Linked DNA regions of Nothobranchius furzeri. The protein of the gene in region 3 interacts with the protein of the main gene of each other region in a pairwise test. Links are inferred from orthologs where the notes say so. Each region holds a gene or a part of one and is shown on either strand. Other genes may lie near its edges. The genes, in order: RNA binding protein fox-1 homolog 2, ubiquitin carboxyl-terminal hydrolase 54 and atxn1l.

Evidence for each region.
Region 1: the proteins of atxn1l (region 3) and RNA binding protein fox-1 homolog 2 interact in binary tests that used the Homo sapiens proteins (3 or more experiments, as listed by UniProt). The link is inferred for Nothobranchius furzeri from reciprocal best matches to the Homo sapiens genes ATXN1L and RBFOX2.
Region 2: the proteins of atxn1l (region 3) and ubiquitin carboxyl-terminal hydrolase 54 interact in binary tests that used the Homo sapiens proteins (3 or more experiments, as listed by UniProt). The link is inferred for Nothobranchius furzeri from reciprocal best matches to the Homo sapiens genes ATXN1L and USP54.

The regions. Positions count from the first base shown.
Region 1 is NC_091752.1:66,555,789-66,559,985, forward strand, and holds the start of RNA binding protein fox-1 homolog 2, read right to left. Parts: upstream 2,801-4,197; 5' UTR 2,028-2,800; coding exon 1,770-2,027; intron 1-1,769. UniProt on the Homo sapiens protein: RNA-binding protein that regulates alternative splicing events by binding to 5'-UGCAUGU-3' elements. Prevents binding of U2AF2 to the 3'-splice site.
Region 2 is NC_091752.1:44,843,644-44,847,977, forward strand, and holds the start of ubiquitin carboxyl-terminal hydrolase 54, read left to right. Parts: upstream 1-1,488; 5' UTR 1,489-1,654; intron 1,655-4,334.
Region 3 is NC_091749.1:59,412,726-59,416,828, forward strand, and holds the start of atxn1l (ataxin-1-like), read right to left. Parts: upstream 2,839-4,103; 5' UTR 2,689-2,838; intron 419-2,688; 5' UTR 297-418; coding exon 1-296. UniProt on the Homo sapiens protein: Chromatin-binding factor that repress Notch signaling in the absence of Notch intracellular domain by acting as a CBF1 corepressor. Binds to the HEY promoter and might assist, along with NCOR2, RBPJ-mediated repression.

The DNA.
Region 1 (4,197 bases), on a different chromosome or scaffold from region 3:
ATTGGTTGATGTTAAGTGTGTTACAACTGATTATTAAATTTAGGCATCAGTCATCTTAATAGGACCAGGTCAGTTTAGAAAGCTTCGTGAATTTAATCTTTATTCAAAAACAAAACTTTGTATTTGTCCAAGTTACATGAAGCATGAGGATGAAGTTGTTTATCCTAATGATCCAGACGAACTGTAGCAGCAGCAAAAACACAGGTTGGTCTAGCCACACCTCAGCAGGTCTACCACTGGCCCAATCACAGCGCTCTACGTTTGTTAGGATTACCGCAAGAGCTGCGATATAAAAAAACTACAAAGATGGTGCCGGTTAAGGAACGGTGCCCGTTTGAAACAATTGTGGCATCAACTTTGGACGATATAGACTTGGGTTTTTCTTTGAGACATGACTCAATAGAACTACTTCAACGGCGTAAGGCAGACTGCCCTACTGACTGGTTGCCATGGCGATGAAAACATCACTCTGTTTGTTGCTCTGACTGGCTCTGGCACTGATCAGGTGTGTGCGAAGACAGTTTGAAAGACAACCGTAGATTCCGCCCCACAACTGAGCTCTGTCTATGGGTCGTGGTCAGACCATATATTCACACATATAGGACGGCTTGGCAGGCTAGAAATTGTTTGCTTTGCTGAAACATCTAACAGAAAACAAGCAGAAGATATCAGAAGTACAGCACTGTATCATTTTGCTTTTCTTCTACTTTTTCCTCTACCCCAATCTTAAAGGTTGATTCTTTATTATGCTAACATAGATGCTATCCGCTTGTTGCAGTCGACCACGCGCCCCCTCTTTGATAGAGCTTTACCAACTCGTCTGGATTCGGTTGCACACAGGTGACCTCATGCTGTGTCTGGCCGCTCCTCTCAGAGCCATTTTCCTGAACTAAAACACCAGACATCAGCTAAACTGTCCTGCTCTATTATTGGATTAGATGCCAGTTCAAACTGTATGCGTGTAGGTGTAAGAAAAAGAGCTGTGCGGCGTGTTTATGAGCCGAGGAGATGGAGGGACTAATAGCAAACAAATCCAGAGAACTAGTGGTTTACTGTAGACAGTAGATCAGTGCAGAGAGGCAGAACCGGCTGCAGATGCTTTGCTGTCTCAGCTGTCGAGTCATGAATGCAGCGAAGACCTGCAGTTAAGAAAGGCCCCCCTGAGCCTCCTTTTGCTCCTTCAGCCTCCAGCGACAAAAAAAAAACTCTGTTCTTTGTCTTTCACTGTGGTGACCCCTCCCCCAATCCCTGTCTGCCTCTCTCTTTTAACACCTAGCCACACCGAGAAGGGGGGAGCAGCCATGTGTCAGGATTTAGGGAAAATCCATTTTTAAAAATGACAATATTTGATCATTTTTAGCTGATTTGAATGAAAACGTGTTAAAAATCTTGCCGGATGGGAGGAAGCACTAGCTTTTCATATGAGACAGGCATGATGAATGTCTGATCTTTGCTGTGCTGCTGTCTGTCATAGCAATGGAGCCTGGATCATATTACCTTTGTCTGGGCTGCTCCTTCACTGCACAGCCCGAGTCTCAACGAGACACATTTCGCAATATTCCTTCACTGGCCTCTAAATTATAAACCCCCTGTCTGGTTACAATGTTTTTGTTCTTTGTTGCAAAGATGACAGGGTTGTGTTGTTGCTGAAAGAGAGTTAGGGCCCTGTCAAAACATCCCTCCTGATGATGCTGAGGAGCAAATGTGAGCAGAAGAGATGAGAACATAACACACACGAATGTGTCTGACGGGTTTTAGAGTAATCCTACCTGTCCGATGTCTCCGACCACGCTCCCGGTCCCGTCTATCCGTGGTCTCTTGCATTCCGCCCCGGCCAGGTCGGTCAGGGCAGCGGCAGTCTGAGCGTCGGGCTCCGGGTCTCCCCGTTTCATCCCCCGGACAACCGCTGGACCCGCGGCCGCGCTCGCATGAGGTCCGGCGGCTACTGTATCAATGTCCCTTTCGCGGTCCATTATTCCCCGATTAACGGGTAGCATTATAGATGCAACGTCGGTCGACATTAACATTGGACGACAGGCGGTCACAAGTCAAAAGTCTGCAGCTTGTTTTCACCTCCTTTCTTCCGTTTGCTTCACAATGGCTTTCCCACACAACGCGGATAATATTGAACAGATTTTCATCAATATGAAAAGCTCGCACTGTTTATTGTCTTAACTTGGCTTTGGCTAAGCCAGCAGGACCATTGTGGCCGAACTAGGAACCCGTAAAGAGCAACAATAGAGCAGGCTCTCCCTAACAGAGTCAGATGTCGCCAAGCAGTGACCTATTTTAATAAAATCAAGCGTCCGACTCGCGAATGCCTGATAGGCTAATTAGCTAGCTAACGTTAGCCAGCTCGCTAGCATTACATTCCGCTAGCTCTCCTTATAAATGTGGCTCGGAGAGCTCCTCACTCCCGCTGCCAAGAATAGAAAATGTTGGAAATGAGCAGAACGTCACACTACTCCTGCGTGGAGCGGAGAGCCAGAGCTCGCTCTGCTGGCTGCTGTTGCGGGGTTAAAACTCCTCCGTATCCGCTTTTCCTTTCAGTCGCTCCCGTCTTGTCCGTTCCCTCGCCGCCGTGGTCTACTCGTGGATGAGTCTTCTCGTGTCGACCTGGCCACCACCGACGAGCACGATTTCCTCTGGATTCAGTCCCACACTCTCCCAGTGTTGGCGTTGCTGATCCGAGGTCAGATTTTACCACGAAGACTGGGATTAGACAGAAGACGTTGAGGTGAAACGGACTGGTCTGAGGTCTGTTCTTCCCTGGTCTCCTTCTCCTCCTTTTTCCCAACGCCACCTACCACCACCACCACCTCCTCCTCCGCCTCACCGCTCCCTCCTTTATTCTTATTTCAGTCTTTTGGTCGAATAAACGAAAACCTTCATTGTTTAACCGATTTTAGACCTGACGAAAAATTCCTCAAGTCTATAAAGAAATAAAGGAAATTAGAAACAACAACACACAGAAAAATCGAAAAAAGCAACAACAATTTTTTATACATTTCACCCCCCCCAAAAAAAGAAAATAAAACAGCAACAATTTACATAGTTCAGTAAAAAATGTCAACACATTCCTTCACGTTGTATTAAAATAGCCTGTGTATTATAAAATCTTGTTACTATCATGACAAAAATGAAAAGAAATGAGATTCATTAAAAGTCATATTTTCTACATTTAATTCATTTAGGTTTTATTGATATGTTTGACTTTTGTAGCTTTAAAATGCAACCTAAATACATGTAAACTGTACATTAAATATTTATATTTTTAATTGTTTCATACATATGCAAACCGGTCTTTACAATTAGCTTTTTCAAAAATTGAAGAATTATAAATAATTACGATGAGACCCAATCTGGCTTCTGTTGTCTGGACTTCATTTAATATTTTAGTTGGACATGGGGGTAAATGTAACGCACAGTATTCCGTTACAAGGGGTTTTCTTTCTGAATCATTTAGCGCCTTCAAGTGGCTGAAGGATAGAACAGCACGTCAACGGGGAGACACTTTTCATTATAAATGTGGATCTAAAGTCTGGTACTGAGTGTTCTGATATTGATTAGATTGTTCTTATTTCTGAGCACAAACACAACATTAAAGCAAATGTTCATCCTGCATTAAAATGAATAATAATAATAATAATAATAATAATAATAATAATAATAATAATAAAGCATAGTTTCGTTGTAAAAAGGCTTGAGTTGAATTGTTACTCTCTAATCGTGTTTTTCAGCTGCTGATTTAATTGGGGAGTTACCCTGTTTGTTGGGAATGGAATTTAAAAAAGATAATATTATCTTCAGGACATCGTAGATAGATTACAGAAACCATGCACCTTTCTTTCGACATAATAAAAAATGAATATAGTTGTTTTACTTCATTACTTCTCTGAATTACTTGATGGGCACCAGCTCCATAACAAACATTTTTTGCCAACTAGTGGGATTTTTGTTGGAGCCCAAGTCAGAGTAGCTGAAGTCCCAAAAGTCTCAACTAGTCACCTTTATATGCAACAGTGAATGAAACCAAGGCACACTTGTTAAAGAGAATTAGCAGAAACAAAAACCTTGACATGTTGTAGACAGATTGCGTGTTAAAAAACAATACATATTGTTTAGTAACAATAAAAACTCCTAACATGCTGTTTATTTATTTTACTGAGAAATAATGAAAAACAATTAAAGGAAAGC
Region 2 (4,334 bases), on a different chromosome or scaffold from region 3:
ATAGGACACATAAATTATCTTGTATACTAAATCTGATATTTAAAAATTCTTTACATGGATATATATTATTAATCGTTTTAAAGTGAACTTCCTTCATTTTGGGGAGAAGAGGGTAAGAAAGAAACTCTGTTCTTATGACTTTAGTATCTATAATTGAGAAAATCGGAGAAAGAACTTTCCTTCTGACAGGAATAGGGAATAACTTGTCTGACAAGACTGCTCTTAGGTAAGAGTTATTACATTTACGGTCTGTAAAACTCAAATCACCTATAGATAATTTAGGAAGCTTAGGTGTATTTGTTCCATGTTGAATACTTTGACTGACCATCTGGCCAACAGCTGGAGAAATAGCCTTTATAACTCTAGAGTATTCCGTTACAGAACAGTCTATGTTATACTTAATTTTGAACTCAGTATGCTCCAGAAACTTACCCTTACTGTCCATCAGCTGCATTATGGTCCAAACTCCTTTATCCATCCAACTTTTATAATATATCGATTTCCGTTTATACAGAACAAATCTGTTATTCCATATAGAGGAGGAATGTGGGCTAAAGTTTTGCGAGTAGATCATTTTCCAGTACATCAACACTTGTTTAATATAGTTAGAAAGTTTGATGGGTAATTTAAGAGGATCGAAATCACATTTTAACAGAAAATCTATACCTCCAATCTTCTCAAACAGAAATGAAGGAATACAGAACCAGATAGAATCTTTCTTAATTAAAAATTTTTTTAGCCATTGTAATTTAATAACTCCATTTATTACTTCAAAGTCAATGACTTTCAGACCTCCTTCTTCTATAGGTTTTACTAGATCGTTTTTTCCTAATCAAATGTTGTTTATTATTCCAAATAAAGTCATATTGTGTTTTATTTATTCTCTTAACATATTGGTCAGGGATAGCTACTGAAAAAGCAGGATAGATTAATCTAGATATACTCTCCATTTTTGTTAAGAGTATTCTACCAAAAATTGATATATGTCTTTGGAGCCAACTACTTAAAATCTTTTGATTTTTATTAATTATTGGTTGGATATTGTTATCCACTCTCTCCTTAAAGATTTTATTAATCTTCATACCCAAATACTTAATTTCATTCTTAATAGGGATATCGCAAATATGAAACTCCTCAGTATCATGAATTGTTAATATTTCACATTTGTTAGCGTTCAACCTTAAACCTGAGGCTTGTGAATTTTTGACGGAAACTTTTGCAACAAAAGTCACTTCCTTATTTGGCTTCAAAACAGACAAACACTTTGTGCTGTGTTTGTTTGTGAAAACAGTTTCTGGAGATAAAATCACATTGGCACCATCAGGGAGCAGGTGGGATCATTAAGGCTCGAGTCTATGTGGATGTTCTAGGAAACACCTGTTGCTACTGAGGGTTACTGGCCCTTTAAGAAATCCAGGAAGTGACAGGGAGCAGGCATCTGGTGGGAAGGAAGGAGGGGAGGGGCTTGTAGAGGAAACAGGTGTGTGAGCCTACAGCGATGATGTCATTGTTTGGCTGAGTCACCTGCAAGATAGCAGCTGAGATCAAAGAGGAGAGGGAGGTTTTTAACTGGTGGTCTTCCTTTGGAGAGGTTGGTGTGAAAGAAGGAGGCTCTGCTGAAGGGAAGATCAGCTGAATGCTGCAGTTTATCCAGGTGAGCAGGAAAGCAGTCCCTCTAAGGACATCTGAACCTTTAAAACATGATTACTATTTATCTAGTTTTACTCTTCATATACTTACTGTAATCAGAGTAAAGATCATATTTGTTTTTGTGTTTTTTTTTCCACTTTTAAGTTCTTTTAATTAAGTTATAGGTTTAAGTGTGTGTGTGTGTGTGTGTGTGTGTGTGTGTGTGTGTGTGTGTGTGTGCGCGCGCGCACGTGTGTATTCTTGTCTTTATAGGCTTAAGTGGACGCATTTAAACTTTACATCTGTAGTATGTGGACATGGTTAGGGTTAGGCATAGAAGAGTCACCAAAATGAATGGAAATCAACGGAGGATCCATACAGCAATAGAGACGTGTGTGTGTGTGTGTGTGTGTGTGTGTGTGTGTGTGTGTGTGTGTGTCACATGACAGGGTGTTTAATGTTCAGCTGAATCAACCAAATTAGTTTTTATAAAATAAAGCACTTTATGGATTTCATGCTGATTCTACTCGACTCTTCCCTCATTACAGCTTTATCCTGAGGATTGTTTACTGAGGATCAGTAAGCGTTCATAAGGTTTATGCAGCTTTATTACACAAAGACAAAACACAGTCACTTTTCTAAAACATTTTTGCCACATAATGTAGCTTGAAATGCTCTTCACAGACCGATGGTAACCATTTAAAGCTGCAATAGCAAATCCGTAAACAAACTAGCTTTTAAACACAAACACGGTCACGGTACTCTCACCCCTCCCGTTGGCTATGATCCCTGGTCCCACTGATGCCAGAACACACTTTGTCAGGAGAAACAAAATGGTGCCAAACACCAGTGGTAGTTTCCTAGGTCCAAACATTTTTTGTTGACTTCAAATGATGTTTTTCTTTTGGGGACTGGAAGTTTGTCCTAAAGTTAAAGTGGTAGCAGCCTTCTCTAATATAATTGAGTGGAGAACCTCTCACGCCAGTGTTCTGTGACTCAATACGTGAGTGTGTAATAAGTGGACTCAGGGAGGTGTGGCAGTTCAGCGAGACTGGCAACTAGATAGTCAAATAGTTGCTTTTGGACTGAGCCGTGTTATGAGCTGAAGTTTATAGACACATGCGAGAGAACCACTTTATTAACTTGGTTCAGTCATTTTAATCTCAATGTTTTGAGCTAGCTTGTTATGCAGATTTGCTACTGTATGTTTAAATGTTTTATTTAAAAAAATTGATTATTTTTATTGCCTTTGAAACATACAGTTCTGGAGAAACCTCATCCAATCATTGTGAACATCCCATTCCCAAAGCAACGCTTAGACCTCGCCCTGCAGCCCTCTGCTGATCAGAAACAGTTTTGTGGTTTGGTTAGGAATGCTAGAGGCAGCTCTCCATCTGCTATACAGCAATAGCAGTTTACTGTGCCAGTAGCTCATATAAAGGCTAGCAAGTAGCTTTTTCAGTTTGCTGACCTGAGGAAGTGGGAGGGGATGTATGTATGCAGTAGCTCACACAGGTAAGGCAGGGCAAGGTCATCAAGAGATTTAAAAGCAATGCAATCATTTAAACATTAAAATCCTTTTTCCTGTTAGGAGGTGAGCAGCAGCAGCATTTTGTACTGTCTTAAGCTGAGAGATATGGGCGTCACTTAATCCTGCATAAATCAACAGAAGGTTTCACAAATCACCAACTGTCTTTCATAACAGCTGTTGTTAATGTAGACCAAGTCAATGTTTGTAGTTTTGGGACCAGTTCTAATGTGGTCCAGATGCAAAACAGTGCTGAAATATGTGTTATTTTGACTTTTACGAAGGTTTCACAAATCATAAACTATGCTTTAAGGATTCTGTTATTGGTTTAAAATGATATAGTTCAGGTTTGAAGAGTTGAAGAGTAATAAAGGCACAATAAAGACGCTCAGGATTTCAAAACAATTAGTTGGAATTTTCATTTCTGACTCAGAAACTAAGAAAGGGACAAACTTCAGCTTATTTTATGTTTGTATGTTACAGAAACCAAATGTGGACAATATACCAGCCATTAAAAATGTGTGTCCTGTCCCCAAGGACATGTATAATGGCAAACAAAATGCACATAGGGGAGAGTTGAGTAAGTAGATCCTTAAAGTGCCTTTAAAGCAAAAGAACTCTAGGAAGGCCTCCAACTAAATTATGTAGGGCTGGGGGTAAACGACTATTTTTAAAACGATTATTCTGACGATTATTTTATCGAATAGTCGACTATTCTAATGACTATTTATACAATTAATCTAATGATTATTTTTCTATTGCACAGTTAATAAAAACCAAAAAATCTCTAATAAATTCCTCCAAAAAATTGATTAATTGTTACTGTAAGAGAATAAACACTACAGGCCTTCCATTTTGTGTAACACTGCTTTTATTGTGTTGGTTGGTTATGTTCTGGTGACGTGTAGAACTTGGGAGTGCAGGCTGCTGCCTGAGAGGTGGTTGGAGACGGAGTGTCTCCATGCTGCTTCGTCTTGGTCACTTATGTGCGTGAGGCGAGTGGTGTTACGACTCTTCCTGGGGAGTTTGGCTCGTGTGCAAAAAGGAAGGGACAATAATATGGGATTTAAAAGTTAAAATGATGATCGGGTTTATTTACAACTACAAAAAACCAAATCTTTCCATCCACAGGTTGGGAGTAATAAAACTAATTCTGCCTGTGGGGAATTAAAACAAA
Region 3 (4,103 bases):
TAAAGCATACTATACTGGTCAACAGGCATAGCTGATATCCCATCCGAGTTCTCCACTCCATAATGAAGCTCCGGATGGCCTCGTGGCCACTCTCCAGATGGGGTCCTTCTGTGAGGTTCACTGTTAGCTGCAGAGTTCTGACTGGTTGCCCCTTCGTCGTTGCCATTACTGCCTCCAGAAGCATTTCCACCAGCCCCACCTCCACCTATTCCTCCAACTCCACCACTGTTACTGATTGGTAGGTCCCTCTTCTTAGGAGGCAGGCACTCCTGGTTGCGCTCCTGAGCAGATTTCATTGCAATCCTTTGGCCAATAAAGTTGTTTTATTGTACTGCACAGGAAGTGAAACTTGCGAGCCAGACAGCCCACTCAGAAGCCAGTTCTGAAATTACCTGGCTGACCCCGTCTACAGATTTACCTGGAAGGGAAAAAGAAAAGCATCTTTTTTTTACATTCATGTCAGGTACAGTTAGGTCAGTCAAACAAGGACGACAAAGCAGTTTGTATTGTAATAGGATCACAAAACATTTTGAAAAAGGAAAATGTTATTTACTTTGGCAAAGTTTGTTTGCAATGGAGTCGAGTCATTCTTGAAGAAAAAACAACAACCAATTGCTGAAGCAATAACAGTTTTTTAAGCAAAAATGCATTTATTTTACAACCGTCTAAAAAAATAGTCAAATCAAGAGTACTTTATAAAAGATGTGATGTAGTGATTGTTTACCTTCTATGATCAACTCTTAACTGCTCCCTCTTGAGAGTGAGATGCAGTGTCTCAGTGACATTTGTGTGTATAAATAAATATTAAACAGGCGGCATGGTGGTGTAGTTGGTAGCACCGTTGCATGCAAAAAGTTTGCATGTTCAACACCCAGCTGCGGTTTTTGTGTGCAGAGTTTGCACTCTTTCCCCACGCCATGGGGCTACCTCGACATACTCTGGTTTCCTCCCACAAACCCAAAGCATGCATGTTAGGCTAATTGGCTATTCTTGTCATTAGGTGTAAATGAGTGTCCATCTGGTTGCATCCCACACTCCTGTACTTATACAGAGTAATTTGCCTTGATGCCTGCAGCCTTTTCTGTGCCTCTTCTTTTTGGAGTCAGATAAAAAGCAACAGACGGAGCAGAATGTTCATCGCTACTATGTCCTCCATTGTTGCGTTGTGCTACATTTGTATCCTGTACAGACCACGGTGCGCTACTTTTGAGACTCAATGGGCCTGGGTACATGTATGACGAGCGGTTTCTTAAATGTAATCGAAAACCACGCAAACTATGTAGAACTGAGAGGAACCAAACCGCACAGTAAATGTGTGGGAAAGGGGCTTTCATGGCCTTGTGATGAACTGGTGATCAGAACTGAGTGCCTCCCGCTTCTCGCCTAGTGACTGCTTGACAGGCACCAGCTGCCCTAAACCCTTACTGGAAGTAGCCGTTACAGAAGAGGAGATGAATATTTCTACATCAAATAAAATAAATGCTCAAATATACCAGAAGAAACACTTTTTGGGTGATATGGAGTTTATCACACCCCAAATAAAGTAAGAAAACTAACAACACCCACAAAGTAATTAAGAAGTAGAAAATGTAAAACTGAGTTAAGTCAGCCGATGTAAGTGCTGCCGATTGTTTTGGCCGATGTTCAAGGCCAACATTTGGACATTTTACACCTTATTTGCATTCTGAAATGTCACACTAGCTACAGCTGATGTGCAACTAAGCTGAACCTAACCTGTTTAAAACTGTTGAAGCTTAATTTAGTCACTTCCCAGTCATAAATTAAGTAAACATCAATTAACTGGCCAAGTATATAACACAGGTAAAAAAAACAGTAATGTTTTAGATCATTTATTAAAAAGATGTTATTCAGGAAAAATGTGGCTGCACCATACTCTCCATGAAAATGCCTGACTTTAAATCAGCTCTACTAATGAGAAATATTAGACGATATACAGAAAATGGTACATATCAGTCCAATATATCAGTCTTTCTCTAACATCCACCATCTATAAAATACGTAAATTTGTGAATTAAAAAAAATGAAGAAAAATACAAGTCTAACCACGGACTGCAGTCATAAAGATTAGAGTCTAACATTGTGTATTGTTTCAGAAGAACATTCTGTTACAAGTCTGTGAAAAGCATTTGTTTAGAATGATATTTAATAAATATAGGGTCTTTAAGAGAGCACAGGCAGAAATTAATAAATAAATGTTGACTAAAAAAAAGTTTATTTTGTGTCATCCAGGATAGATTTATCTTCCAGTGATCAAAAATATTATATAAACAACGCGAAAGAAAGTTTTATGGAAAGAAACGTATAAAAAACAACAATAGTTATTTAATAAACATCAGGGGTTTCTGTCTCCCACAGCTCAGTCCTGAGTCAGTGTTTACCGTTAGGCTTCTGGCTGACTTGGCTAAAGTTAGCGAGCTACTTCTTGGAAACAACCCGTTTCATTTAAAAACAGAAGCAGGGTGACAGTCAGTACGCCATCGTTAAACATATTTTGCACTTAAATGAAAGCGAATGTAGCACGAGGCCAATGGGTTATAATTTATTATCCGGACCAGGTTGAAGCTAGTTAGCTCCATGGCTAACACAGCTACAAGAGTCCGGCTCGACTCAAACAAACTGTAATGGCTATTGTGAGTTATTCTGCTCGGTCTCGTCCTGCTTCCTTACCTCCAAATGTCATCGCGGACGGGCTTTCCTCTCTAAAACTCCTGATATGCGGAGAGACAGTCGGAAAAATCAAGGCTAACGAATGAAGCCCATCTCGAAGGCCAGAAGAGGCGCTCACCAATGATGTCACCACTTTTACTCATTTCCTGTTTTTCTAAGCGCGCACGAGTGAGTAAAGCACGCGCACGCAAAAAAAAAAAATACTCTAGCGTAGAAAGCCATGTTAACATATAACGTATATATTAACGTACACACACACACACACACACACACACACACACACACACACACACATATATATATATATATATATATATATATATATATATATATATATATATATATATATATATATATATATATATATATATATATATATATATATAGGGAAATTAGAGTATGTGACATACAATCCATTTTACTTTTTTGTGAACATTAGATTTATATTTATACCAAATAATTCCCTTACTAGTCATTTATTTAACATCTTAAATAACATTCCTTTTTAGTACATTTATATTTTATTCCCTGTAGCCGAGTATCACAAACAAATTATTTATTGTAGAAAGAAACAAGAGATGAATAAGTATACACAAAGTAATAATAATAATTAAAACAATTTGTTTGTTGCCAGATACCAAAAATGACACGTTTAATCTGCCAGAGAAAGCCTAAATATTTTAGGGTTATTTAGGGGGCTTTGATAAGTGGAATAAATTCCATAAGAAAGAAATAGTGATATCAAGGCAGGTGTAATTTCAGAATGACTTTTACTATTTAAAAACTTCACAGTGCTAATTAATTATAAGCAAAACATACGAAAAGAAATAGATAAAATTGCGGGGGTAAAAAAATTAATTATCATGAAAAAGAAGACATTATTATTTTAGAGTGCCTCTGAAGATAAAAAATCACGAAGGGCTTCACAAGAACAATAAAAAATAAAAAATACGTAATCCTGACAGATACAGAATTAGCAGAAACAGCAGCATGAAGAGAAGCTAGTGAGGAAGAAACAATATTATCAACATTATTTCATTTTAATTAGTACACTTATAAAGGTGAAACTCGAAAATTACAATTTGGTGCAATTTGATTCAGTAATCCAATTTAGACTGATGGACAATTTAAAGGCTCAGGAACCTTTGCAGGTGTTTTGAATTCATTAAATATTTCCTGCTTTAGCTCATTGATTTAATCTTGTTAAACACAAATAATAAAAACAGATTTATTGAGTTTTATCAGTTGAGTAGTTTGTATAAATGGCTTTCCCTATTTAGAGACTAATTTAAAAAATGTAGGTGGTATGATTTGTTTCAAAGGAATCTACAGGAAGCGCAGATGAGTTGTTTTTTGTTTGGCTTTAAGAAATCGGTAGTAACCACTGCTGTCCACCAGGGGGCTGAAAAATTCTT